Oreochromis niloticus: one gene and its partners. The protein of the gene in region 1 interacts with the protein of each later gene in a pairwise test. Links are inferred from orthologs where the notes say so. Each region holds a gene or a part of one and is shown in the gene's direction. Other genes may lie near its edges.

What was found.
Region 2: the proteins of creb3l1 (region 1) and tmem218 interact in binary tests that used the Homo sapiens proteins (3 or more experiments, as listed by UniProt). The link is inferred for Oreochromis niloticus from reciprocal best matches to the Homo sapiens genes CREB3L1 and TMEM218.
Region 3: the proteins of creb3l1 (region 1) and slc35b4 interact in binary tests that used the Homo sapiens proteins (3 or more experiments, as listed by UniProt). The two-hybrid records come from large-scale screens. The link is inferred for Oreochromis niloticus from reciprocal best matches to the Homo sapiens genes CREB3L1 and SLC35B4.
Region 4: the proteins of creb3l1 (region 1) and tspo interact in binary tests that used the Homo sapiens proteins (3 or more experiments, as listed by UniProt). The two-hybrid records come from large-scale screens. The link is inferred for Oreochromis niloticus from reciprocal best matches to the Homo sapiens genes CREB3L1 and TSPO.

Annotation. Positions count from the first base shown.
Region 1 is NC_031986.2:12,843,830-12,850,680, reverse strand, and holds the start of creb3l1 (cyclic AMP-responsive element-binding protein 3-like protein 1), read left to right. Parts: upstream 1-3,847; 5' UTR 3,848-4,104; coding exon 4,105-4,215; intron 4,216-6,851.
Region 2 is NC_031975.2:4,619,078-4,626,974, reverse strand, and holds the start of tmem218 (transmembrane protein 218), read left to right. Parts: upstream 1-4,895; 5' UTR 4,896-5,231; coding exon 5,232-5,341; intron 5,342-7,411; coding exon 7,412-7,514; intron 7,515-7,897. UniProt on the Homo sapiens protein: May be involved in ciliary biogenesis or function.
Region 3 is NC_031972.2:48,261,877-48,269,394, forward strand, and holds the start of slc35b4 (UDP-xylose and UDP-N-acetylglucosamine transporter), read left to right. Parts: upstream 1-4,494; 5' UTR 4,495-4,596; coding exon 4,597-4,694; intron 4,695-4,732; exon of another isoform or gene 4,733-5,253; coding exon of another isoform or gene 5,254-5,292; intron 5,293-6,597; coding exon of another isoform or gene 6,598-6,679; intron 6,680-7,017; coding exon of another isoform or gene 7,018-7,196; intron 7,197-7,515; coding exon of another isoform or gene 7,516-7,518. Other genes in the region: vesicle transport protein GOT1B, read right to left, coding at 5,254-5,292, 6,598-6,679, 7,018-7,196, 7,516-7,518. UniProt on the Homo sapiens protein: Antiporter that transports nucleotide sugars across the endoplasmic reticulum (ER) membrane in exchange for another nucleotide sugar.
Region 4 is NC_031970.2:19,775,401-19,782,770, reverse strand, and holds tspo (translocator protein), read left to right. Parts: upstream 1-4,363; 5' UTR 4,364-4,495; intron 4,496-4,537; exon of another isoform or gene 4,538-4,947; intron 4,948-6,175; 5' UTR 6,176-6,178; coding exon 6,179-6,351; intron 6,352-6,461; coding exon 6,462-6,600; intron 6,601-6,702; coding exon 6,703-6,876; 3' UTR 6,877-7,223; downstream 7,224-7,370. UniProt on the Homo sapiens protein: Can bind protoporphyrin IX and may play a role in the transport of porphyrins and heme. Promotes the transport of cholesterol across mitochondrial membranes and may play a role in lipid metabolism, but its precise physiological role is controversial.

The DNA of each region.
Region 1 (6,851 bases):
TGTTATATTCAGCTTTCTCTTCCTATCAATTATAAAGGCTGATGCGTATAAGGCAGTAGTCACTGCGTGGATAGGTGCCAAATCTGACTTGAGGTCTGGGGGGTGTACCCTCAAAAAACATTGTATTGTATTATACTGCTCTGTTTGTTTGCAGTTTCAATGGCATATTTTGTTTCAGATTGGTATGGGATTTTCGAATGCTGCAGTCTTAAATATGATCAATCTATCTAATTAATGGGCTGCATACCACAGGCCTTTAAACGCGTCAGTATTCCATTCCAGTGATCCATTACTTACAAAAACATCACTTGACCCAGCTGTCTTAGCTAATTATAGGTCAAACTCCAAATTTCCTTTAATCTCAAAAAATCTTAAGAGAGTCAGAAGAGGGATGGTTTGTTTGAAGAGTTTCAGCCAGAATTCAGAGCACATCACAGAAACAGCTTTAGTGAAGGTTACAAATATTCTTCTTATGGCCTCTGGCTGTGGACTCATCTCTGTGCTTGTCCTGCTTGACCTCAGCACAGCACTCAGTACTATTGACCATAACATTTTATTAAAGACATTAGAGCATGCTGTAGGAATTAAAGGTATTGCTCCACAGTATGAATCATATCTTTCTAACAGACTTATGACAAACTAATGTTAATTATGGGATTCCACAGGGTTCTGTGCCGGGCCCAATTCTATTTACGCTATACATGCTTCCCTTAGGCAGTAACATTAGAAGGTATAGTTTACATTTTCACAGATGATACCCAGCTTTATCTATGCATGAAGCCAGATAACACTCATATCAATTAGTTAAACTGCAAGAATGTCTTAAAGACATAAAGACTTGTTGACCTCTAATTTTCTGCTTCTAAATTCAGATAAAACTGAGGTTATTGTACTCAGGCCTAAAAGTCTAAGAACCATGGTGTGTAACCAGATGCTTACTCTGGATGGCATTACCTTGGCCCTCAGTAATACTGTGGGGAATCTTGGAGTCATTTTTAACCAGGATATGTCCTTCAATGCAGATATTAAACAAACGTGTAGCACTGCTTTCTTGCATTTGGACAATATCTCTAAAATTAGAAACATCCTGTCACAGAGTGATGGTAAAAACTAGTTCATGCATTTATGGACTACTGAAATTCATTATTATAAGGTTGTCCTAAAAACAACCATCGCAATTCATACAATAGCTGTAGAGACATCACACACAAAAACACTTTCACTAACGTTGGTTGGCTTTATCGTTATGCCAATCTAAAAGGTGTTTTGAGATATTTCTAGGTGAATCTAAATCATGGATGACCAAGCGGTCCATAGGGCATCTAACCATAACAACAACTACTACTACTGGTACTAATCCTACAAAATAGGTGATGAAACTCATGGATAAGCCCTTCTGACATGCCGAGTTCACTTAAAATCTAGCCAGATCATGGGACAGGTCGGAGTTGCAGCACACACACATTGTTTGCACCTCTGAAACGATGAACAGGGTTTCTCTTGCCATGCTGTATTTCAATCTGTGTCTTAGAGGAGAAACAATCTGGGACAGAATGAGAGGGATGAAATGAGACAGGCGAGCCTGAGCAATCATGGTGGAGTGAAGAGAAATATCTGTTTCATTCCCACTTTGTGTGTGTGTGTGTGTGCGTGTGTGTGTGTGTGTGTGTGTGTGTGTGTGTGTGTGTGTGTGTGTGTGTGTGTAATAGCTGCAGGGAGTATCTTGAGGTGTCAAAACAGCCTTTATAGTCACTTGTCTTTTTCCCAGTTTCATCTCCACAAAAATACCCATTCTCAAGGATAGGCATGGATCTCTGCATGTATTTCATGCTCAAAGATATCTGCAGGTGGATCATGGACTGTGTGTACTGTTTGTTTATTGATACTGTAGCTGCGTGTATTCACAGAACTTTCACGGATCTTAAAATAAGTGGATAATAACTCAGATGAAAATTGGGTAATATTACAGATTCTATTTAGTGCAAAAAAAAAAATGAAAAGGATTTCACTTTAGCTGATCAGATCTCTGCTCAGGTTGAGGTTTGCACAGCAATAAGGTCACCAAACTCCTCTACTGGAGAAGAATGACGTAGATTTGCAACCAAACTTGCAGAAGTGAGGGAGAACATCCATCAGCTTGTGTAGAAGTCCACACACTCCTGACAGGGCATCACTTTTAATCAGAACAAAAAATAATAATAATTCAAATAATAAGTTAGTGTGTTTCTGTACTTTGTCAAAAAAAAAATCCATAATTACATGTTTTTATTTATTTTCACTGTTAATCCACTGTAAAACAAAACAAAACAAAACAAATAAAAAACAACCAAATCCCCCAGAAATTTTGATAATATTTAGTCAAAAAGCAGGAATTTTTCTATCACTTTTGGTTTATTTATATATATATATATATATATATATATATACATATATATATATATATATATATATATATATATGTATATATATATATATATATATATATATATATATATATATATATATATATATATATATAAGATAAGATAACCTTTATTAGTCCCACACGTGGGAAATTTGGTTTGTTACAGCAGAAAGTGGACAGTGCAAAGTTACATAGCAAAAATTAGAAAAACACTGGAATAGGATAAGAATAAGATAATGTACACAACTGTACACAATAGAACAGAATAAAATAAAATACTATATACAATAGAATAAAATAGAATACAAATGCTATATACAACTGAGTAAAATACAACGATGCCAGAAAAGAGTATTGCACTTAGTGTTATTGCACATGTGTGGATGTGTGTGTTTGGTCAGTTGTCTTTGTTGTGGAGTCTGACAGCAGTGGGGAAGAAAGACCTGCGAAATCTCTCCGACACACACCGTGGGTGCCGCAGTCTGCCACTGAAGGAGCTGCTCAGTGCTGTCAGAGTCTCCTGCATGGGGTGGGAGATGTTGTCCAACAGGGATGACAGCTTAGCCACCATTCTCCTGTCACTCACGACCTCCACTGGGTCCAGAGGGCATCCTAGAACAGAGCTGGCCCTGCGGATCAGCCTGTTCAGTCTCTTCCTATCCCCGGCAGAGATGCTGCCGCCCCAGCAGACTGCACTGTAAAAGATGGCTGAGGCCACCACAGAGTCATAGAAGGTCTTCAGGAGTGGGCCCTTCACTCCAAAAGACCTGAGTCTCCACAGCAGGTACAGCCTGCTCTGCCTTTTTCTGTAGAGGGCGTCTGAATTATGAGTCCAGTCCAGTTTATTGTTCAGATAAACACCAAGGTACCTGTAGCTGTCCACAGCCTCAATGTCCAGAGCTTGAATGTTTAGTGGTTGCAGTGGAGGATGTTTGTGCCTGCGGAAGTCTACCACCAGCTCCTTGGTTTTACTAGTGTTGATCTGGAGGTAGTTCTGCTGGCACCAGTCCACAAAGTCATGGGTAAGTTCTCTGTACTCCCTGTCGTCCCCATCAGTGATGAGGCCGACTATTGCAGAGTCATCAGAGAACTTCTGCAGGAAGCACTGGGTGGAGTTGTGGGAGATGTCTGCAGTGTAGATGGTGAAGAGGAACAGAACTATGTGTATATATATGTATAAGTACTTAATTACTGTGGTGTAGTATGTAGTAGTAAAACTTTCACATCTTCTGCAGCCATCCAGTGGGCCAGATTGGAGTCTGTGTGGGGCCACTCCTGGACCCCAGACCTTATGTTTGACACCCCTGATCTAAAGCCCTAAATGGGTCTTCTTCTTTTCTTCCTTTTTGTTAATGAGCGAATAAGCGACTACAACTTTGTTTTGTGGGCGTTTTCTTTTTTGGACGTCACGTGGGCGGGGCTTCTCTGAATATTCATCGGCGAGTGGCTGAGGCGGCGCACGCGAGGAGAGAGCTGGAAGAAGCGCCGACGTCTCAGCGACAGGCAACTGGAGGAGGATGTGAAAATTTGACATTTGTCAGCGCTGACAGTGAGAGAGAGCAGCAGCAGCAGCTGGAGTCACACACAGGCGGTGCGAGGCCGTGTGAAAACAAACTGCCCGCTTTTTAATGGTCTGACTTTAATGGTCTGACGCACAGCTGTCCATCCGTCCGGTGAGGTGCAGACAGACGCAGGCAGTCATGATGGACTCTATCTTAGACAGTTTAACAGCGGAGAAACTCTATCCGTCCGGAGGGACCAACCTGTTGGACCTGGAGGAACTCAGCGACGGAGATTTTCTCACTAATGTGGTGAGGCTTTTTTTTAATTACATTTTTATTAACGCAAACTCTTAGTGCTCTTTCTCTTTCTATCGTTCTTTCTTTCTTTTTTTTTTTGCCATCTACGATAAAATCAAACGCACCTACACTGCCTGTTCCGCCCGGAGCCGGACCTCAGGAGGGCGGTGTAGCTGTTAGATCCTGACAGACATCCGGGGCTCGTAACCTGTGCTCATAACCCCTTGTGTGTACGTGTGTAGGGGTGTGTGTGTGTTTAATTGTGTAAACTAATGTGTTTGAAAGATCGGGAACACACACAGGCTGGGGTGTTACTGGTTAACTTGCGTGTGTGTGTGTTCAGCTGGCAGATGTTGCAGCATTCACCAGCACACCTAACTATTAATTTAGTTTGTGTGACTGTGTGTGTCAGTGTACTAACTCTTTCACTACACTCTCAAGTGTTTTTATTTCATTAAATCTGAATCATCTTATAAAGAAAAAAAGAAAATACAGTCTTAATATATATATTTATATATACAGTCTAATCCCTCCTTTATTGTAATCTACCTAATTATTGTTGTATTTATCTCTTGATGGCTTCATTCTGTTGCAAAATAATCTTATAATCTCAGGGTTGCATAAAAAGACAGATTTCCAATCTCTCACAGATCCCTTTTAACCCTGTGGAGTCATCAGTGATAACCCTAACCCTAATTCTGTGCTATCACTGTATTTTTTATTTGTATTGTTATTTTATTTATTTAATTTTTTGGCAATCAGAGGATGGAAAATGAATCTTTCTGATTTTTTTTAAAAAGAAACATTTTTTGCTTCTCAGAAACATTGGGGTTAGGATTGGGGCTGGTCATCGTCACTCATGGCGACTTAAGCCCCCGTCCACCTGCGAGTCCAACGGCACCTGTTTCCCTCAGTGCTCTGAGCACATCCCCATCCTTGCAGAGACACCTCATCTGTCACTATAACAAACAACAGGATGTGGTTGTGCAGAATCATGGTTGTTCATCAGTAGCACCAACAGTAGATTTCTTGATGTAGCAAAAGTGCTGCGACAGGAAGCAAGGATTTGATAAAGAATCAAGGGTTCAAATTGCTCCATGAATAGTGAATCGTTGTTATGTGGAAATTGTCTGTTTAACGCTGGCAGCCGAGCTCGTGTTTCTGGTTCTGCACAACACAGTCAGAGTTAATAGTGATGAGAGGATCGATAAAAGCCCGTGAGCATGGCGGGACACATTCATCCTCGCCAAGTACACTGAAGGTGCGCTGTGCTCCAGAGAGTTCCTGCACCCTTCCCTTTAGGGACTTAATTGCTGCAAACCACAGAGGGCAGACTCTGTTAAGAGCAGCATCTTTTGTCTTTGTTTCCCTTCATTCACTCAGTCTCTTTTTCCACTTTGTGTCATCCCCGCTTTTCTTTTTTTGAACACCGCAGGTTTTTTAGGCAGACCTCTATTCTAGTCGGTGAGTCAGCCGAGCAGTCTGCTCGTGGTTTAAAACCCCACAACACTGTTCTAAATAAAGTAGTCCACTCTGCTATGAAGCCACTCCTGGGCTGCACCACAGAGGACATGGGAAAGGATGGCTGATTAACCGAAGTTTCAGTCTCTCCCAAGTCTGCAATCTGAGCTGAGAGTTCTGCATGCCATTGGTTCATTTTTCCTTTTATTTATTTAGCTTTTTTTCAGGTGTATATGACTCTATTGCTTTTCTGTAATAAATGAGTTCTTGTTTAAACCCACAGTAATGTGCTTTTTTTGTTGTTGTTTTTTTTGTTGTTTTTTTTGCTTTCCTACTAGCCATAGTAGGAAATTGCATATTTACTCCTTTTTGGCTCCATTTTAGTCTCCACCAACTTAGTTGCAGTTAACAAGTCTTTCATGTTACTTGCTGTCTTTTTAGCCTCTTTTAAAATAAAAATTATGATTCTTCTATGTTTATGTACAGAACTGTTTGAGATTGTGGTTTGTGCAGAGTTGAGCAGAGAGCTCTGTTTTTATATATATATATATTTTTTAAGTGGCATTTATTACCACAATGAACAAGTTTTTAACAATGTGTTAAAAGCTGGAAGGCTTACTGCTTGGGATACCTCAGCTCTTTGGTTTTTAATAGGCTGTGCACTGTGGTCCAGTCCAGTAGGGGTTTAAACATTTTCTGTTCTGCTTTTTATTTACCTTTTTACAGTATATAGCTTTTAATAGCCAGTGGGTAAAAGAAATAGGTGTGGGCAGCAAGACAAAACAAAAATCGATTGTCAGCCATTACTAATGGGACAATTTACTGCAAATTACTGCCCGTGAAATGAATTTGCCGGGCCTGACAAAGAGCAGAGTGCGACCAAATATGAGCACAGACGTGGAGTTTTATTGATTTGTCATTTTGAACTCATATAATGCGATCATGACGCAAGCAAATTCCTCAAATTTCCAAACATAAGGTGTTTGTACAAGAAACCCTTGTCAGCTCTTCGTCCGATGACTACTAAATAGAAACAAGAAACAAAATTAAGACACACATAAGCATTAAGCGTGAATCACTTTAAAACACAAGAGGCACGGTAAAACGGGAGTGTCCTTTGGCTACTGTTAAACCTGAACAGATGCTTTGATCATGCGTAGAGAGCACCAAATTACCACCTGCCAGCA
Region 2 (7,897 bases), on another chromosome or scaffold:
GAGGGTGACTGGTAGTGATGCGTATCAACTCGTGAGCTTGCGTATTTGTGTACGCCATCTCGATCCATTCGCAGGTAAAATCATCTACTGACAAAGGGTGATTTGAACAGTGTAAAAGGTAAAAAGGCTTCTCTTGCTCTTTTAACAGCAATTCACAGAACAACAGCAGTTTCTTCCAAAGTGTTTACTTTCACAGTGGGTGCAAATTTAGCCCCTCGTGGGATTTCATGCTCAGCATTTTGCACCTGGCGAACGTGTCTGACAAAGGGACCTAAAGTGGTCCAAATCGCCATTGTGATTTCTCAGGGAAGCAGATGATTAGTAAACAAATGGTTCAGGCATATTTAATTAAGCTAATGTACTCTTGATGTTCACACTATGGCCTTAGTTATTTGGCCCTCAGTTAGCTTTGTATAGCCAGAGCATTTTACCACTGACAGACAACAACTGTGTCAGTTATCAGTTTGAATTTTATATTAAGAAAAGCATTTCTGTTTTTAAGTCACATGTGTTTACCAAATCTGCGCCTGCACCGGGGTGCCTGTATGAAATACTGCCCAAAGGAACACAGGAGTTGGCTGAATTTGACTCAAAAAAACTACTAAGACAGAGCAAATGACCAGCAAATCTGGGCCTCTCTAGCTCAAGGATGTAAGTTAAATCATACAGGCTCACGGTGCTGAAAACTAACTGTCTCACAGACAGTGTTTTGTGCCAGTCAAACAGCTACGGTGAGCAAAACCGTCATTCAAGCAATTGTGGAATAAAGAAGTCATCTGAAATAGAAAGTGGTGAGCGGCACACAAAGAGGGCCAGTGTTCAGAGTAGGGAGGTTTATGCAGGGCTGGGTAGGCTGAGTGTAAACTTTAGAGCTCACTTCAGTCAAAAATTCATTGAGAAAATAAGAAGTCAAAAATGCCCCCATTTGATGGCAACTACATTCAATTACTACATGTAATATATATGCTTTATATATTGTTTGTTTTTTTGTTTTCTTTTACTTTGAAAAACTGCTGCTACACCAATTCCACTGAAAAGCTGGGGTACTTTTGTAAGTCATCAGCAAAAAAATTATAATTTTAAAGGTAACTATAGTTCTCTTTTTCAGTTTGAGACTGAAAAACATGCAAACATCTATTTTTTTCCTGCAAACAAAAATAAATACACACACAAAACTCACGAGCATTAAGAAAACTAATAATAAAATTCTGTGAATTACATCAAATTGCAAGTGTGCAACATGAACCCCCCCCCCCACACACACACACACACACACACTTACACCTCGCCTAACTCGCTCAGTCAAAATAAAAGCATTTTTAACAGCGCAACAACGAAACTTCAACATCAAGAAAATTGCATTACATTACAACACAACACGCGTTTTGCACGTTACAGACACGCCGTAAAATGAAGTGTTAATTTGCGATTAATTAGAATGGGATGAAGCGTTCCGAAGCTTTTGACAAAGAAATCAAAGCAAACAGAACGCCAGCTTCCTGTGCGCTTTACTGCTTTTATTCACTTTAAACTATTACATTTGCACTAAAACATCCGCTTTATACATTAAAAAATCGGAGATAACCGCATCACAAACATTACCGCGACAATTTCAAAAATCCAAATGCCGCATCAAGCAAAGGAAAAAAAATCCACTGGTCTTTGAGTCCAGCACAAAAATGCTTCTCCTCTCCTTTCCCTCTCTCTTTTTTCACCCCCTCCTCTAGGCCCCCTCCCTTCCCTCAGTTTCTCGCTCTCTCTCTTTTTTTTCTTTCTCCCTCCCTCACTCTGTCTCTCTTTCCCTCCCTATCTCTCTCTCCCTCACTCTGGCCTGGCTGGCTGTCTGACTGTATGAATAATGTCCTGCCTTTTGTAATGAAGGGGGGGAAAAGGGGAAAAAGGACGCTGGAGTGCTGAAGCCCTGCTCCCATGCACTGACATTGAAAATGAATGACAGCTTACCTGCATGCCAATCTTCATCAGACTGACACTGGGCTGACAGCACAGCCTATACTCCTCCACACAGTCGCTGACGTCAGTCATGTCAGGCCCCTCCCACCTCCATCTTCATCTCCGCTCCCCGTTTTCCCAACACCGGGCTGCTGATGCCTTCCAGTGTCCATGGGAAATACGGCAATCAGGTGTAGGGCTCCAAACACACGAAACATCAAAGAAGAGCGCATTGACATTTGCGGTCGAGTTGCAATGGTGCAAAACGTTTAGAACAATCACAGTAACAACAACAGCAAACAACAGCTCATTTGAATAAAAAATCTAAAGAATTTAGTTGCTTTTGAATCAAGAGAATCAGTCTTGACCAGCTTAGAACACATAAATGTGAACATTTAAATGACATTTTGAAATGATTTAATATATGAACGCATTCAGTGAGCTCGGGCGGACTCTGTTATAAACCTGAAAAGTAAAGTGACCTACATCTGTTCAGCCATCCTCTTTGCTTTCAGTCTTTATACAAACATAATGTGACAGCCTTTGTCAGGAAAGTGTGTCCAGTTACAGGCAAGCTTGAACCTTTTTAATATAAGAAACCTAATTCACTGCGTGTTGATTTCCTGCTGTTCTAATCCCTACAGCTGTGGGCAGCTGCTTCAATGTTAAACATCTCAGTTGTAGTCACCACAGCACCACATATCCTCGATCTTTTTGTTATATCCTCACTTGTTCAGGTTTACCACTGATTAAAGTTCTTTGTTCAAACAGAAAAGACCTGAGTTTAGACCTGAGTTTAGACCTTCTTTATCGGAAATGCTCAAGCACCCCTGAATTTAAAAATAGAACCCCTAAAAAATGTTCTGTCATCATTGTCTAATTTTGCATTTATATTCCCACCTGGTCTACTGGACACAGTGCAGGTTATAACAAGCACGGATTTAGATGTCCAGTGTTCTTAATGTCATGATGTCACAGTGCACTCATACATGCTTCAACATCAACAGTGTGGATTTTTATTAATAGGTAAGATTTTTGTTATTGTGACAGAAAGAAGATGAAGAGGTCATTCCACAACACCACTCACTTGTGAAGATTGAAAACGCACATTACCTAAATATGTAAACATGCAAGGAAAAGTGTAAATTGTCCTGATAAAACAGGGTCATTATGTTATGTATACTTGCTGTCTAAATACCATCAAAAATGTTAACATAGGCTAGATTGTTAGAGTCTGTTAGCTATTTTTTTAGCTTTCTGAGCCTTGGGTCTGCTGGTATATATATATATGTGCTTTATCAATTTCCTATTTCTGTTCTGGTGAAACCGTGGTTCAGTGTTTGTTTACAGTAAGACTATCTAAGAGTGAATATGTAGTGAAAGCCAACAAAAGTTACAAAGCCATGGTAGCTTCTGCTTTGCTCATATTCATTAATAATGATTTCACATTCTAAATAGAACATATTAATTGATACAAACTGAATAGGATTCCCATCGCTAAACATGGCTTGAACAGGATGGATACCATTACAAATCTATTCTCCACTCTTGGATCAGGGGGCCTGATATCCTGCGTTGATCCTGCAGAATAAATGAAGGGTTTGCATGAATTTGGAAACTTTAGTGTAAAATCAACTCTACCAACTCCAGGTGTATGGGGTGGAAGAGTGATGTTTTTTTTAATGTTTTAATGTTTTAATTTTAATTGCAATTTAATTGAAGTAAACTGAACTGCCTGTACGTGGTTAAGAGACTGAAAAAAGAGAGTGACAAAAGGCTGTTCATATCTGCTTTGTTACAAATAGTTCTTTAACGTACCGTGGTAATTTCTGGTCAACAACTGAACACAACTGAGTCTTTGCCTTCAGTTTGCCTGCTATAACACTGGTGTTTCATATGGAAAACTGTGATTATTCATTCCAACTAACTGGGTTGATTTAAAGGTAACATTGTAATGTGCATTCCTTTGAACTGAGGGTTGTAAAGGTGAAAAGGACAGCAGCACATGTTTACAAGCAGAATATTCCGTTAATATTAATTGCAAGGAAGTCTGTGCATGTCATTATGATAGGTGGCTGAGCCCCCTTCAAGGTCTAATCCCAGAATCGCCCCTTCCTGGACACTTTGATACAAAATTGAAAGTGAGACGTTTGTGTGCGCTTTAATCTGTTTGACTGCAGTGAAAGTATAGAAAAGATCAAATCGCCCGATGGAAAGTCATGCAGGCACAGGCAAAACACGAAGAACGGTTTAAACTGCTCTAAAAAAAATGTAAATATCTAATAAGGTAACATATTCATAATTTCTTCTCGTAAACAGCAAAAGGGACCGCGGCATGGAACGCGCGCACTCGCGCGCTAGAATGCAGATGCCTTTGAATCGCGGACCTGGCTAGCCCCCTGTTGGTCACCATAAATATTACCCATAATAAATCTTAGCTTGGACTGCACGTGAGAGATTCAGTCACTACTATTAATACACTTTGTAGATCAAGGAGGAGAAAATTGTTATGAATAAAAACAGGAGTGGAAAATATGCCGGGCTACTTTGTGAACACGTCTGATAATCCCTTGGAATGAATGTGTTTTGTGTAAGACTGAATAATACTAATACTGTTTTGGGCTTACTCTGGGGATACCTTCAGATAAGTATTTATACAAGACTTTATGAGTGTTTCAAACACTGCTGGTTCATAAACTTTAAGGAAATCTACCTCAGTGAGCCGAACCTAACATAAGGCGCTGAAACATCCCCTGGCTATAATGCAAGGACCTGGCTGTAAAATGAGACCCTTCCTCGGAATAAATGGGGTAAAGTTCGACATTCGCATAAGAAGGCTCTGCTTCTTCTTCTCTGGTGTTGTGTGGCAGCTTCACAGTGGGGCTTGACGCTTAAGTAACGACGCATTTGATTGGTTAGTCGTCTGGCTCATTTATCCAGTTACATAACAGTTTGTTGTTACCAGGAAGCAGATGACGCCATAGAGAAAGCTTAACCGAAACTCGGCTCGTTTTTATATGAGAAATGGAGCCTTAGCTGGCAACATTAGTTCGCAACTGTGTCGGCCTGATATTTTAAAGCCGTCGGTCTCAGCATAGAAGCGCTAGTAGGGACAGCGAACTTACTTGTAAAGCAGTGCGTCGACTACTGTTAGCTGCGGCAGCTGTCGGTAGTTAGATACCGCACAGCGTCGTTAAGTGTACCATTAGCATTTTTCATAAATACAAAGGGTTGGGCGTTTGGGTGTGATGAGTTAGCTCCCTTAAAAACGTTGCTTTAAAATGGCAAATACTGTCCTTGAAGTCGGTACTGGCGTTTTCGTTATTGTGGCGGTCTGGATTGTGGCTCTTGTGTTTGGGATTTTGCTGCTGAGAGCGTCAGGGTCCGCTACGTGAGTGACATAACAGCACACACACAGGCTTAACTCAGATGGAATATATTAATATTTATAACGAGAAGCCTGGATAACATAGAGTTTATCTCAATGGGCGCCGCATTTCCTTTAAATTTGCGCCATTTGTCTCATAGGTGGGCTAGGGTCCACCTAGGAGATAACACGTTGTAACCACTGCATTAGTGAGGCTTCCTTGTAAATTCGACATACTCTTGCATCACACAGTAACCACAGTGTAATCCCAAAAAATGTCTTTCCACTGCTCCCTTTAGGGACCTGCAGCGGGTTATCTGGCTCATTTTCACCCTTTCCCTAGCATCCTCCTCTGTCCTTCAGTCCTCTTCACTACATCCATGAAGCCTCACTAATGCTTTTTTTTCTCCTGCCTGACAGCTCCACCTGAAATATCCTTTGTCCAGTGTATCCACTGTCCCTCCTCTGTACATGTCCCAACATTCTCAGGCTTGCCTTTCTAACTTTGTCCATCCTGGTCACTCCTAACAAGAACCTCAGCATCTTCAACTCTTTCACCTTCTGTTCTGCCTCCTGTCATTTTGTTAGCACTGGTGTCTTTACAGCCAGATGTATGTGATGTACAGCAAGTCTCACTTCCATCTTGGAAACATTCCCTTTCAATCTTGCTGCTATCCTTCTGTCACAAATCACTGCTGAAACTTGTATCCACTCAGTCCATCCTTCTTGCTCTTGTTTCTTCACCTCTTTGTGTACTGACCTTTTATTTGGATAGTAGACACCAGGTGTTTAAACTCATTTGCTTTTACTACCTGGACTCCTTACACCTTGCTTCTACTCTCTAGAGCACACCTCCACCCCTCCAGGCTCTTTTCCACCTGTTCCCTACTCTCACTTCAGATTACAATGTCTTCTATAAACATCATAGTCCACAGAAACCCCTGCCTGACCTCATCTGTCAGCTTGTCCAACACCAATGCAAACAAGAAGGGGCTCAGACCTTGAACCCATCTGTAATACCTATAATACCTGTAATACATGTCCTGCACCACCCTCACATACCTCTCTGTCACTCTTGACGTCCTCATGCAGTACCACAGTTCCTCTCTTGGAACCATATTATATACTTTCTATAAATCTAAAAAACACACGGTGCAACTCCTTCTGATTATCTCTATACATTTAGTCCCCCCCTTCAGTGAAGCAGCTCATCCTTCATGACTACTCCTACTTCAATATACTCTCGGCCTTGCATTCCTTCCACCTGGTCTCTTGCACACACAATATATCTACCTTATGTCTCTCTATTCTGTTAGCCACTTTACCAGTCATTGTCCCCAAATTTATAGTTCCTAGAGTCATTTCCAGATTTCTGTCTTTCCTTTTTCTGCCTCCTAAGTGCCCTATTATACCTGCTTTTTGGTCCCTGGAGAAAGGCACTGTATGATAAAGTTGACTTAATGCATTAATGCCAGTATTAGTTCACTGACTCGCAGCCACGCCCCATCCCCGTCAGCTGGGTTAAAATTACAAAAATTATAATGTCTCAAATATCATTAAGGGCTGGAGCTGGGTGTTTGAGAGGAGGCGAGGGACAGAGGAGGTGTTAAGTGCTCAAAAACAATCTAATTAACACCAAGGGAAGGGATTTTTGCACAGTCACCATGAGACATGCTGAGACATTGTTTTGCTTTATAGGCTACTCAGTGAGACCAGCAAAAATCCACTTTTCCATCAGAGTTTTAACAAAACACACGCTGCTTCACTGGTTGAGTGCTGCAGCGATACACCTTGCACTCCCTGCTGATTAACATTTGTGTATTTACTCAACATTGGACCATTATGCCACTAAAGTCAGTAAAATTTGAACTCCTGTAACACCAAACACTGTGCAATTACAGTAAAGTTTAAATGTGTGAAACATGGTGCTGTTTACTTGATTGGAAAGTTAACAACTTTTGAAAACCACAATAAAGGCTGCCATTGTTTAGATTGGTATTGGTTATGATGACATTAGCCTCAGGTAACCCTGCATGTCTTACAGATCATTAACTCAGTAGTGGAGACCTCATCCTCAATCCTCTGTCTTCTCAGGTTAGGAGTTCTTCCTGTTTTCTTCTTGGCTCTGACAATCACTTTGGTGCTGGTGTTTTTCCCCCGCAGCCCAGAGACACCTCTGCCTTTCAAAGATATAGAGGTGAGCTTAATTCACTAATCACAGACACGTTAACATGTGCACAAATGTAAAACAGTGTGTCGGTGTCTGTATCTTTGTTTATTGGATAAGTCAACTCAACTTCAAGTCTCATGTGCCGTCTGGAATAATAATTAGTATGATTTTACTCATATTTTGTTCACTAGTTTTTACTGTATATCTGCTGCAAAATCGATGTCAGGAAAATACAGAACACGATACCATTTATTGAAAATGTATTCATTAAAACAAAAACATATTTGGTGTTATTATATAACCTAGTTAGGGATGCATTGATTTACCAGTCACAGATCAGTACAGCAGTTATCCGCCATACTGACCAATATTCATCTCAGTGGCTTTCCGTGAGGTGAATATTGCTGATT
Region 3 (7,518 bases), on another chromosome or scaffold:
TATGTGATTACACTACTTGAGCTCCATCATGTATTCACACACCTGAGTGAAAAGTGTTTTCTTCCTCTCTTCTGCCACGTTCCAAAAATGAGCGGCGTCCCTCTGCAAAAGATCAGCACACGATATCGTTTTGATCTGATAGACATCTGAAATCTGGGTGACTGTTTGCTGCGGTCAGTGCGTTCTTACGTGCTCCTTTCAGGTATAGGATGGCCTGAGAAGTCCAGTTTCTCCTCTGAAAATGGAAAAGAAAATTCTGTTCCAGCTCAGGCTGATCAGGTTTAAACGTGACAAAAGACAAATCCTGACTAACCTGTGGAGCAGTCCAACACTGAGAAACCAGCGACAGCAAAAGCAACGTGACTAGTAGAGACATTGTTGAACTCTGCAACAGAACAAGAGGGGGAAAAATAAACTGCGTCTTTTTCTGAGAAGTTTAATTACAGTCATCCAGCACAGGTCTATTTCTCTGTGTTTAGATGTAAACTCACTGTAAACAAATTTTAAAGCACCTCATCAGCACCTAGATGCCAGTAATTTACGGTAAAAAGTTTGCAGTAACTTTACAGTAAATTTACTGTAAATGAAATTACAGCCACTAATGTCAAGTAAATTTACAGTTGGACACCAGTAAGTTGCGGTTTGTGTACATTTTACAGTTAAATTTTTTTAACTGTATTTATATTAACAGTATTTGTAGCATATTTTCATTAATAGTGTTTTATTTTACAATAATTTGTAGCATTCTTACTTTATGTTACATGTTATTAATGTAACACACTATAATAAATCTCTGTAAGCAGGTTTAAGCAATTGCCCGTGTATTTTTAGCAAGTAAATTTCTCCTTTACACATAATTGTGAGCTGTTGTATTATACTAATACCTCACTATACTATACTAATACTGAATGACAATAGTTACATGTTTTCTGTCTGTGCTTTATTAGCTTCATGATTTATTGCGCTGCATTGTGTTATAAACGGATTTAATTTTGCTCATAAATAGTAAAAGGTAGACTTAGAAAGTAAAAGTTTAATTTACCTCATTTTTTCACATTTAAGAAAATTAAAATGTATGTATATATATTTATATATATACATATACATATATATATATATATACATATACATATATATATATATATACATATACATATACATATATATATACATATACATATACATATATATATACATATACATATACATATATATATACATATACATATACATATATATATATACATATACATATATATATATATACATATACATATATATATATATATATATATATATATATGTCTCTAAGAAGAAGAATATCTTACCTCTTACTTTAAGCGTTGTGCTCTCCTGCAGGTTGCAGCTGGTTTAAATGTTTGATTAATGTTTCCCTGTCAGTGCAGTCACATCGTTTGTAAGAAAAAACCAACTGATGACGCTGACAGGTGTCTTAATCACCTCACACCTACTTCTTCAGCTGACGGTGCTGTTAAAGATGTCGCTGCACATTAATCGCAGACGCATGAGAGACACTCAAACTTTTAAGTCTCGCGAGCAGCAGAGTATCTTCACAGGGTCACTGCAGGACGACGACGCCGGTGAGATTTTATGAATGAAGTTGATGATGATGATGAGCAGTGATGAGGTGGCAGGTGCAGACGCCTACGGGAGGCCTGAGGCTGAGAATAACACAATTCTAGTCCTTCAAGGAACCTGTGTAATCTGTAAATCTATTTTATTGCCTACAACCGATTTGTCCATATCCATGACTTCAATAGGTCTTCTCCCAAATTGTGGTCATCATTGTGTGGAGCACTACTTGTTCATAGGGGGCGGAGTCATGTGATCGTTGGAGTGTCTTGCTAATATTGCAGGGTCTTTGTCTCTGAAATATAAAGCCTTGGGGTGACTGTTGTTTTGAACTGCAGCTTTGTAATAAAACTAAAGTGAATGGTGGTCTTTGCTAAAATAAGACCAGCACTGTATTAATGTGAACCATGGATGAACTTAAGTCTTCGCCGTGGCTTAAGTGCATTGGTCCTTCAGCCAGATGAGCTAAAAATATATGCATACTAATACGTTTTAACCTCTCAAACATTTTTTAAGAGACATTTAGGCCTTTACTATCACAACCTTCACTGGCAATTAATGTATTTATTTCAAAGGCAAATATAAGTGTAGTTAAATTAAATGCATTTGTTCTAATAAGGGCTTTAGCAAAAATATTTAAGTAAACCCTCATTAGATTTTCTTCCACTTTTATTATGAATGCAGTGCATTTGCTTGAAGATGATGGATTTGAGAATGTGGGTTTGACATGAGGAGCAGGAGCCTGGATCAGCTGAAAGCATGAAGGAAATCGAACATGAGGACCTTGAATTTATTTGTTATTTTTGTTTCAACTGTTTTAGAAATTTCACACATACATAAATCTCTGTGTTTATGACCTGTACACACTGTGTATAAACAGTGAGATTAGTTTTGAATTATAAATCTCTGATATGTGAATGCTTAAAGGGAACGTATTATCATTTCACAGTGGTTGACGTTGTCATATTAAACTTGATTAACATTTGCTCATATAAAGCTGGCTTAAGACTGTCACATCAGAGTAAACACCGGTTTGATGACCAACCTTTCCATCAGAAGTTGACCGTACAGCATCCTCAGCCTCTGAGTGACCACTTTGAATCACAAAGTGACCGCACAGGTCGCCTGTTGGGAGGCGACCTGTCTGCAGACAATCGCGGGCCACTCGACCACTGCAATCACTCTCAGGCAGATTGGTGAATATTTACAATGCCGACCAATTAAAACCAACACACTGCAATCGAAATAAGTCAGTCTGTCACGGTCTGAGCTGGCAGACCGTGGGGAGATGGGGAAATAGGACCCAAACGCCGGACTCTTCAATGCGACAGTGTTTATTTACAAAGGTGGTGAAGTAAACAACAATAAATCCCCTAGTGTCCCTGACTCCCGTGTAGTGTCTTCTTTCCCAAAAAGTCCCCGTGTAGTGCTCTCTGCTCCAGTGTCTCGAGCACTCCTCGTGCTCACTGCTCTCTCTCATTCCACATTCCTCCTGAGGGAAAACAATAGAGGCAGCCATTAACACACTATATCCTAGCAGGCATACACTCACACTTCCTACGAGCTAGAAGACTGACGTGTAGTCAAACGCAATAATCCCGCGTCGGTGGAAGCTCCATCACTCCTCTAAATAGTTCCACCGACGAGCCCTGATGAGGAGCAGGTGTGTGGCAAGGGCTTCGGGTGTGGCCAATCCTCGAGCTAGGCCACGCCCCTCAGGCCTGAAGATGCCTGTAACTTGGCCACAGAAACAGCAACACACAAACACACACACAAACCTGCCTACATACAGATGAGGACAGATCAGAGGCAGTGCAGACAACACACAATAATAATAATAATAATAATAATAATAGTAATAATGGTCCACACTGTTCACGGACCCCGAGTCCCCGGAACCGGGTCCGTGACACAGTCTGTGCCAATTAGCGCAACTCATCTGCAACACGCCTCTTTGTAACAGGACTCAACTGGTTTCCAGCTGCTTATATAGTTAAATCCCTGTCCTGTAGCAACGCCGTCACTTTTTTTGGATGAATTTGTTCAAATCAATGGGTTTTCAGCTGGACTCTGAATCTAAATAGTTTAAATTAACTTCTGTTTATATACATGGCAACAAATTTGGAAATTTATGCTAGTAAATCTTATATATATTATGGAGTATAACCACCGTATTATCACAAACAGATTGCATGTGGATGCCAACTTGAGCACACTCAATCGTACACTGATAGCAGACTGAATCCATTTAATGCTGTTGTATTGCCACCTTTGAATCCAGCAACTGACTACAAGTGGTTGCAGTCCTGGTCCCTGCCTCTGAAGCAACCAAGACAATGAGATTGGTTTACTGCACACGATCATACAGTCTCCAGCCGCCTTCTTCCTTTGTGACCGAAGCATTAAAGCAGGGGTGCCAAACTCCAGTCCTCAAGGGCCGGTGTCCTGAAACTTTTAAATATGTCTTGATGCATTCTCAATCAGATTGGGGAAACCTGCAGTCAGCTGAGACTGAAGAAGTCACTTGGATGATTGACGAAACGTTTCTCCCGTTGAAAATGCTACGACCAGATGAACAGAATCAACCTTTGGAGTTTTATATTTGTCCCTGCTGCAACAACCTGAATAAAATTAGTAGGTCATCAGCAAGACTTGACTCCATGCTCAGGTGGCAACACCTAACCGTACTCAAGTTTAAATAAATGTAAGTAAATATAAGTTTTTTGAAAAAAAAAGAAAGAAGTACTTTTATTGTACCATGTTCATTTACTCATGAGCTGCTGTAACATGAATCAAATGGATGAATTGCCACCTCAGCATGCGGTCAAGTTCTATAAAGTCTAATGACCTACTGATTTTATTCAGGTGTGCTGCAGCAGTGACACATGGAAACGTTTCAGGACACCGGCCCTCGAGGACTGAAGTTCGACACCTGTGCATTAAAGGGTAAAATAGCTTGTTTCAGAGAACGTGTGCATTAGAGGAGCTTCACCAAGGCCCAGTATGGGTGAACCATGTAAAGTTCTTCTAGTAGAGTCCATGAATAGAAGATGGAGCTGGGCTTCTTTTAGCAAATCATACTGTTATTACCCAAAACGCAGGTAAGATCTGGGACATCTAAATTACTTATACTACAAACAAAATTTATAAAACGCACACTTTATTTCAAGCGCTTAGAAAAGTTACAGTTAAACATTTCCATCCAGGACAATATAAACTGTTTTTACATTTCTGCCACATTTAGCTCAACCGCACATTTTAAGTATAAAATTCCACTAACTCTTCATGGAGGAAAAAAAAAAAAAAAAAAAGGCCCTCAGTGTCTGTTCAGGCACACAGATGCTGTCACTGTCCTCCAAATTAATCCAGTGGTCCCAGATTATCAGTCCATAAATATCAGAGTGGAATGACATAAAAGAGAAACTGCTTTCAGCCTTAAAAAAAAAAAAAAAAAAAAAGGATCTCTTGGTAATGTTATCCAGTAGCAGTCAGATAGAAACAGTTTCCCTCTAATAGAATTAAATGTACAGTCAGTCAGACATCCACAGATGCGTGGGTCTTTTGTGCAGAGTAATGTTTGGATTCACAGCTCTGGAATGGCAATGGTCAAAATATACAGTCACCATGAGACGGTAAGAAACGCTGAAACTGTCCTCTTCGTTATACCATCGTGTTGCTCTCACCAATTTTGTCCACCAGCTGAAATAAAACAAGAAAAAGGGCAGAATTATTTATGAGTTGTTATGCGAAGGATGATTTAAAATAACAGGAATAAAGCAGAACATGTAAGGATGATGATGTTGATAATGCAGTGAGGTTTTTATATTGGTAAACAGCTGTAAAATATTAGCGACCACGGCAGAATTAACTGATCCTGGATGCTGACGGTTTCCAAGAAGCTACAAAAGGCTTCACAGACAAGAGACTGAGTGGGGAATCCCATGAGATCGTGCTCAGGACAACAGGGACCCTGTTATTAGACTAGATGAGAGAGAGACCAGCCGCGATCTCATCTAAAAAAATCTTCCTCAGCTTTTGGAGCCATTTCACTCTAAAAAAATCTTTAAAGCCCACATAGATCAACAAAGTAATATCAGCTTCTTTAAAAACTTTCAGCTGCTTTTTGCCGTAAATGCCATTTGTATCATCTGAAAGTACTGGAAAAAGTTCATGTTTAGCTTAGAGAACTAATCTCCAAATATTTTGATAATCAATTCTTTGCACTTAACATTATTCAAATACGAATAAAGAAAACAAATCCCTGGTTCCAGCTTCTCAAATGCAAGACTTTAAATGGTGTATTTTAGTCATATATGATGGTAAACTGAATTTTATTTAGCACAAATGAAACAAAATAGTTTCGTATTCATATAATTATACTTGCATGATATTTTGGCCAACAGGCTGCAAATACCGGATTTTTCCATGTCTGCCAAAGACTGTATTTAAAAGATGGAGGAGGCCACTGTGACATCACCCTTTGATTAGCAAAATTCTGCTTCCAGGCCTTGAGCTTAAATAGATGCAAGGTGCGGATCAGACCATGAATCTGAGTGACTCGGCCACAATGTAGGTGGCGTACCCTGCTATTTCAACTCCAGCTGGAATCTTATGTACACAGTTGACATCATGTTGTATTTAATGAAACCTGAAAGTAGCAACTGAGACCGTAACCTAAGCAAGAGAGCCAGAAGCCATTTTCTCATCCACTTCTATAGAATCTGACTTCTTACTGCAACCAGAGAGGCTTGCATAAAAGAAAACTACAACAGCACTCAGAGAGCACCTTCTCCACCATGACCAACTTTTATTATTACTGGATCAAAGATTAGTGGATCCTTCCTCTGAACATGCTCCACCTCTCCACCAAGTTTCATCAAATTCAGACAGTGTTTATTTACTGTTAGTCTTGCAGACAAATGTCATTGAAAGCCTTATAACGCTAAACAATATTTGTGATTAGTGACCCTTATCAAGGTTAAAGTGCCCAAGAGTGACACTTACCGAACTGATCCCCGGTAAGCTGAGCAAAGACCCGAGCACGGGCACTCGTCTGATGAATCCGACTGCCACTGGGAAGAATCCCCTGTTAACGAGTGCAAGAATAAAGTGAGACTTGTAAATTGATACAAATGAGTGTTGAAGGGCTCAGATGTTTTGGACATGTGCAGTGGAGAGATAGTGGATATACTGGACAAAAGATGTTGAATATGGAGCTGCCAGGCAGGAGGAAAGAAGGAAGACGGCAGAGGAGGTTCATTGATATAGTGAAGGAGGACATGCAGAGGGATTGGGGTGACAGACAAAGGATGTTAGGTATAGGGTGAGATTCAGGTAAATGATCCACCGTGGCAACCCCTAATAGGGAGCAGCCAAAAGAGAAAGAAGAGGAAAAGGAGGTGAGCCCTTTCTGACTGAGCTGACCTGAATAAGAGGAAGAAACCGTAGATCTCCAGAACGACCCCAACAATCGGCCAGCCAAGCAGAACCACCAGCACTCCTCCCAAGAAGAAGCTGGTGGCTTTTAGTTTGTGCCTCTGGAAGAAAAACCTGAAGGTACGCTCGAGGCCGATGACGAACGACAGTCCGGAGACAAACAGAATCTGCACAGGAAACAACATGTCATAAGCCCAACATCTTTTAGGTTATATAGGGTTGACTTTCACACTGGTATAATTACTAGGTAGGCACTGATTATATAGTTCTGTGCTCACAGCAATTTTTAAACTAATAATTTACCTGATATAAACATTCATTTTTTAACATCGGTTTCCTTTTTACTGCCCTCTTCTAGAGCAGCAAGGAATAGATCAACTTCCACTCACATCAGCAAATGTGATCGTATGGACCAACAGCCAAACGGCAATCAACAATAAAGGTATTACTCTGATATATCAATAAACCCAAAAGCCATCAACTCACATT
Region 4 (7,370 bases), on another chromosome or scaffold:
TCTGTATGTATCTGCAATGTAGAAAGTTGGAAAAATAAAGAAAAACCATTAAATGAGAAGGTGTCCAAACTTTTGACTGATAGTATGTATGTGTGTGTGTTTGTGGGGGGTTTTTCTTTCTCCCCTCCTCCATAAAAAAAAACATTCTTAACCTATCCTGCCGACTAAGCATCTGTTTTACTCTCTAAATTTGCTGTTATTTTAAGGAATAATTCAACAACAACAAAAATGTTTTAAAAAATCTATTCGAATAGTTACAACTTTCATGCAGCTGGTTGTAGTTGCTTATAAAACTGGGTAACCACTGCTCTCTGTTCAAAGATGACAAAATCCACTTATCAGCATCTCTGAAGTAGTTTTCTGAAGGTCTTTCAAAGTTTTTTGGGGGGTTTTGTCTGCTTTTTCACTCATTTGCAGTCCAGTCCTTTTACCTGACCACTTTAATAATAATGGTAACAATAATAATCATAACTTTGATTTGTATTGCACTTTTTAAAAACACACAGTAACAAAGTGATTGACAGTTTGAATAAAACCACACATTAACAATAAATATAGATGTTACGTTTCTGTATAGAATACAGAAAGTCAAACATTTATTCATGCATTAGATCGAACTGTGGCCACAAGTAATTAGACAACGTTTCTTCTTTGTCTTATCTGTGCCAAATTACACAAGAACTTGGCTCTGTGACCTCAGTAAATACTTTTCAGATGACTGTATTGGCTCAGTCACCAGTTTCAACTCATTTTGCATGAATGGGGAGTGAGAGTCAGAATTTAGGAGTATTCAGGACACTCACTGACTACTGACTTTTCAGTCAAGCTATCTATATCATAAGCCATGGAAAAACAGATTTTTCAAAAATAATTACTTTACATGTTTACACATCTACAACTTACAGCACAAAATCTCACATCTGCTTTGCTCGCAGGAAACTACATGCCAATTTCTGAAATTTATTAATAATCAAACTCACTCAAATGCTGAAATAAACATACCCAGGGGTGTACAACTCATGATTTCTGCTCATTAACTGAACTATAAGTTCCCTTTTCATAAAATCAGATTTATGTGAATCTTCTTACCCAAAGAAGTCTGAGTCATTTTAACAGTGCAACTTTTTAAAGACACAGTGTGCTAAACTGGGCTGTAAATACCAGAGAATGAAGCTTTGAGCCACGAGCCAAACATGAAATAAACAATTATACTGTAGTTTTAAGTTACTACTGCATATACTTTGTCTAGAAAACACTGTTTATAAATGCAGTTACAGTGTATGTACAGTTGGGTTGTGTCTTGAAGATGGTGTGTGCAGTGATGCAGTTAAAGCCCAGTTTAAGTCATCATTGGTATGATTATGATGTGTGCTGTTTTCATTTAAAGAAATTCAGTCATTCTCTTTAAGTACAACCCCAATTTCAGAGAAGCTGGAATATCTGTATTTATAAATGACACACTAAGGAGGAGTAATTATAATATGCCAATGATATGCTAATTTGCTAATACCTTACTTTACTAATGCTTAATAGTGTGACATTATTATGAAGTGCTACCTAGTCCAGTAAGGCCTTTAGGGGTTTTATTTCTTCTTCTATACCCAAATTCTGGTGATAGTCTCCCAGATTGTGGTAATATGGGATTACCACTGGTTGCAGAATCTTATCTTGATATCTCTGCATCAAGATTGCCTCCAATAATGGCACGCCTTGTTTTTCAGTGAAGGAGATATGTCCTAACACCATCACTCTGCCTCCATCAAAAGCTGCTACCTTATCGTTGGAGCAACCAGCATAGTGTTTTTTGCATCTTCTTCACACTTTGACCATACAATCCAGCTGCCATAGGCAGAATCTGGACTCATCATTGAACATAACGTTCCTCTACTTGTTTAGGTTCTACTGCACATGTTGCAAGACCAATGCAAACAGGCCTGATGATGAAGGGCAGTCATGACAGGCCTCCTGGCAGCCCTTTGAGAATGGCGATTGGCTGTGTGCAGTTCACTCCAAATAATGCAGCAACTTGGTTTTGCAACTTCAAGTTGCCCTATGGCACAGGCCCTATGCAGGTCAGTCAGACATGGCGTGCTTGAAGCAGATGCCAACTGACCGATGTAGCACATATTCAAATCTGCTGCTCAACCCACAAATATAATTATTTACAAATAAATAAACTCCTTACATTTGAAACCATTTAAGGGGAAATAAACAGGCTTTCCAAAAGTATAGAATTTATTGCCAAGAACCATTGTTACAACAAAGAAATAATCAACCAAACAAAAATGTACTTATTTTTTTTAATTTGATGGCAGCAACATGTCCCAAAAAAGTTGACAAAGGGGTAATAAGGGCCTGAAAAGTAAGTGTTTCTAAAAAGATACAGCTGGAGGAACATTTTACAAATAATTAGTTTAATTGGCAACAGTTTAGTAATATGAAACAAGCATCTCAGAGATTCAGAGCTTCTTAGTCAATTGCAAAGGGTTTAAATAGCTCATCCCTCTCCCTTTGGGAGAGGCTTTAACTTCCTCTCCCAAAAGTCCAGCAGCTGGTTTCCTCTGTTCCCAGATGTTTACAGTCTGTTGTCACTACAGTGTAAACATGGCCCAGTCCCAAATTTTTTCAGACGTGTTGCTACCATCAGATGCAAAATGACCTTATTTTGTCTTAGAATTGTACATTTTCTCAGTTTAAAAATGTTTTGTGTTTTCTATGTTCTATTGTGAAAAAGAAATGGATTTATGAAGTTTTCAAATCATTGCATTCTGTTTACATTTTCCACAGCCTCCCAGCTTGTCTGAAATTGGAGTAGTTAAAGAGAATGACTGAGTTTCTTTAAATTAAATAGCAAACATCACAATCATACTAACGATCACATAAATAGGACTTTCAATATAGAGGCAGTTTTACACCTTCCACTATAAAGTAGAAGAATACTCAATCACTGCACACTCCACCCTCAAGACTATTTGACACAAACCAACAAGTTAACTGTGCATATGTTGTAACTGTGTTTAACAGTGTTTTTGACTGACAAAGTATGTGCAGATGCAAGTGTGTCCGGGAAAAGTGAGGAAACAAGTGAAAATGTAAAATGAGCAGCATCTGAATAATATTGGAGGCTGCAAAGCTGAATGCAGAATTTATAAAATTAGAAGCTGGATAAAGTGATACCCATGTTTATTTTCAGCAGTTTTCCATTGTGAAGGAGAAAAGGTTTCAAACTTGTCCAGGCCTTAAACCTCATGTGTGTTCTTCCATACTAGCAAAGCCATGAAAATAAGGCCTTTATGAAAACACTGAATACAAATTTGCTTCCTTGAAAAAGACTAAAGTTACAGTTCAGTATTGAATATTACATAAAATAAACTATATATAAAGAGTCTTGGAATAGCAGAAATGCAGAAATGTCTGCGTGTAGCACAGAGCCATGTGTCAGTGTCTGGGTGTTTGAATGAGTCTCACAGGCCTGAATGTGCACTTGAAGCCATTTATAATCCTAAATTTTTTGATCTGCTGCTCACCACAAACAAGCATAAGTAGAAATGTTGGACTTTTAACTGTATTTACACAAGTTTTACAGCTTTTCATTCTGTTTTCTACAGTCATTGCTTCAAACATAAAGAGGAAGTTCTCTGCACTCTCTCAGAAATCTGCTCATGCAACTGGATCTCAACACTGGCATCTGTTTCCTTACCTGACACGTGAGGTTTGAAGACAGACAAGTAGTGTTGCAAGAACTGCACAGATGAAGACATAACTGTACTCGGCTACTCAACATTATTGTGATGTGAACACAGAGGCCTGGGAGAGGTATTTCCTCAACTTCAATCTTGTTATGTCTCATGCATACTCCACCAGTAAGTATTAGAAATATAAATATAATATATAAAAAAAATAATATATAAAAAAAGGGTAATAAAATTAATAGAAATAAGTTTCCATAGTTCATAAAGCAGGGATGTAAAACTCATTTTACACTGTGGGCCACATCCAGCTCACTTTGATCTTATATGGGCAGGATTGGTGAAACTCCAATTTCTGTCAGTGTAAAATAGTTTAACTACATAATTAATCTCTACAAAATCTTAACATAAAACAAAGAAGCACAATTTTAACGGTATTTTTCGTTTTTTCTACATTACAAAGAAATTCTGTCATAGTAAATGAAACAAGTCTGTCAGCACGACTGGGCTTAAATTGTAAATAAAGTAAATGATTAAATTACAGAAATCTATAATTGATTACTTCAGTGCAATGTGAATTGCCATGGGGCGGAACACAAGGAAAAACAGTAAAATGTCTCAAATGTATGTCCTTCACATTTTCCAAAGCCATTCAGTGGGATGGATTGGATCCTGGCTGATTCTAGCCCCCGGGCCGTATGTTTGACATCCCTGCTGTAGGGAAAACATGACATTTTAAGTGGTCTAAAACAAGCTGTTGGAACAGGAAAGGAAAGCATTGTAACGCCTGCCATTCGACACGGAGGGTAACTATCTTGACGTTTTTGTCATCTTTGCTGTCACATAACAGGCTCCGTGCGCTTCCTCGGCCAAAAGGACACGAGACAACAAACAAAGCATTGAGCGAATACGTTTTTCGCGGTTTTTTTTTTTTAACATTTGTGTCACCGTGGCCTTATGCAACACATTTATTTAGCTAATAACCGGTTTTTCGACCGTTAAACAACTCCTGATGTTATCCTCGTGACCAGTCGTTGGTAACTACGCTGCGACGTGACATTGTTTGGCTCAGTAGCGCAAGTAGCACTCGTTATCCAGGGAGTGTCAGGGGAGTGTTTCTGACTGCTCCGATAAGGTGGCCCTGCCCACTCGACAAACAATATCACGGCTTAACAGTGTGCTTAAAGATTTGGCTGTATGTTGTAGATTCAGTCCTCGATACGACAGTCATACTTTACGCTGCTGCCCACTGAGTGAGGTAAGAAGTTAAGCTATGTCTGCTCGTGACCTGACATCAACATTAGCTTTAACGCAACTTTGCGCCGCCAAACCTTGACCTAGAGTCACTCAAGTGCAGCGTGACCTCAGAAAGTCAGCGCACGTAATGTTTGGGAGCACGAACACGTAAAAGAAAAATTAATTAGCGTTAAGTTAGCATGTTTCACTGCTGCGCTAGAACAACAGCAAAACGTGCTTAAATGTATAGTAAAAGTCATGTGTTTTTGTAACGTTGCTGTAAGAAAGAAAATGAAAGCGACAGAGTCATGCGGGTATTGTTCTTTTCCTGCTTATTAAAATAAAAAGGTTTGGGGATTATGTCAAGGGAAAGGAATGCGTTTACTTGTATATTTAAGCTTGAGTACATACATTTTTAATGCTTAAATGTCCTGTTAAAAATAGCAGTAAAGGTAACAGACTATTAACCTTAACTGTATGAAGGGAAATCTTGTTTACATCTATAGATACCCCCATAAGACCTGTTATTTCTGGCCAGCAAGTACTCTGTAACAGTGCACAAAGCCATTTCTATGCAATGATAAGTGATTAAAAACTGGAATGCTACTTAAAAATAGCCCACAGCTTGTATTTCTGAGGCTAATGAGTGCAAAGAGGTCGATCAGTGTGAATATGGACTATGTTTGGTTAACTCTCAGGGGTGTAATTAAGTTGAAATGGTTCAGCCTTGTAATGTTAGTTGATAGTTGCTTTGGCTAAGGATTTAAAATGGTCTTTACAGCAGTGATACTTTGATTTAACGTCTGTTGTGTAATGATGTATTGACTCTTAAATAAGTAGCATGTCTTTAATGTGTTGAAGCCATTCTGGTTGGTTATGAAGTATAAGCTTTTATTTATGTGGTGCAAGTGTCTATTATTGTGCTGAACTGTAACAGGGCTGGCCATTTGGTCTGCACAAATCGAATCTGATGCCATGCTTCAGTTAGTTATTAAATTTAATTTTTAACAGAGAAATTGACATATGCCTAATGCCTACCTTGAAATTTAAAAAACTGTTAAAAAAAAAAAAGTCTAAAACTAAAATGATCAAGGATGTGCGCATAACAAAATCCTCACTTTTTCTGTTACTGCAAATCCTGTTTAGTCAGTCATGGGACAGCAGATGCATTAGGCAGAAAAATTTGATACTTATACCTATGAATATCCACCCTTAGCGGAAGTTAAATGGCTGTCTTTTTCTTATCTCAGAAAATGTGGCTGCAAATAGCTGGGTTCACTGCCCTGCCACACCTGGGAGGGCTCTACGGTGTTTATATCACACGCAAAGAGGTAAATACCTGGTACCCAACCCTGAAGAAACCATCGTGGCGCCCACCAAACAAAGCATTCCCCGTAGTGTGGACGTGTCTGTACACAGGCATGGGGTAAGCACATTGTGACTGATTTCTGCATTATCTGTGAAGCAACCTCCTTATCTTAATGATCTCGTGTGATTTTTTTTTTGTTGTTGTTTTTTTTTGTCTTTCTCTTCCAGCTATGGTTCATACCTGGTGTGGAAGGAGCTTGGAGGTTTCACTGAGGATGCACTAGTTCCACTCGGGCTTTATGGGACACAGCTAGCTCTGAATTGGGCCTGGACTCCCATTTTCTTTGGTGCACACAAGCTGAAATGGGTAAATTTAAATTTGGACACCAATAATTAGGGGTGTGGTAAGTGTGGCAGTGTAGTTGTATACATCGCTGTCACTGACATGCCCTCTGTCTGTTCTTTTTAGTCCCTCATTGAGATTGTGCTTCTCACTGGGACTGTTGGAGCCACCATGATGTCCTGGTATCCCATCAGCCGCACCGCCACGATGCTCTTGGCGCCCTATCTGGGCTGGCTGTGCCTTGCAACTAGCCTCAACTACTGCATATGGAGAGACAACCCAGAGGAAAAAGAAGAGTAGGGATCATGACTGTGTGTTTTGAAGAGCATACTTATATTCTGAATCACGTACACAATGTTATTAAAAAAAAAAAAAAAATACTAATAAAAAAAACAGGTCAGTCTCACTTTTTAACTTCTGACTTTATTATCCAGCTGCTTTGTTATGACCTTGTTGGCTGGTCACAGACTTACTAATACTTGCGTATATGTTGCCCAAAATAAAAAGAAGAAAAATAAATAAAGATGTCATTTCTAAATAGTGGTATCCCCTTTAACATCTGCAGTACTTTAGATCTGAGCAGGCATTATGTTATCTGCTTAGATACTGTATAACAGCCTGCTTCTAATAAATTTATTTTGTTCCTTAAAAAAAAATCCCTTAAGAATTTCAGTGCATTGTCAGAAATGTCATTACTAATAGGAAAAACTGTAATATGATCAGAATATCTGATTACATTGAAAATAGTTAAGTCACCCCATCATGTGGAGTTTTGGTTGTTCAGTTTAAAACAA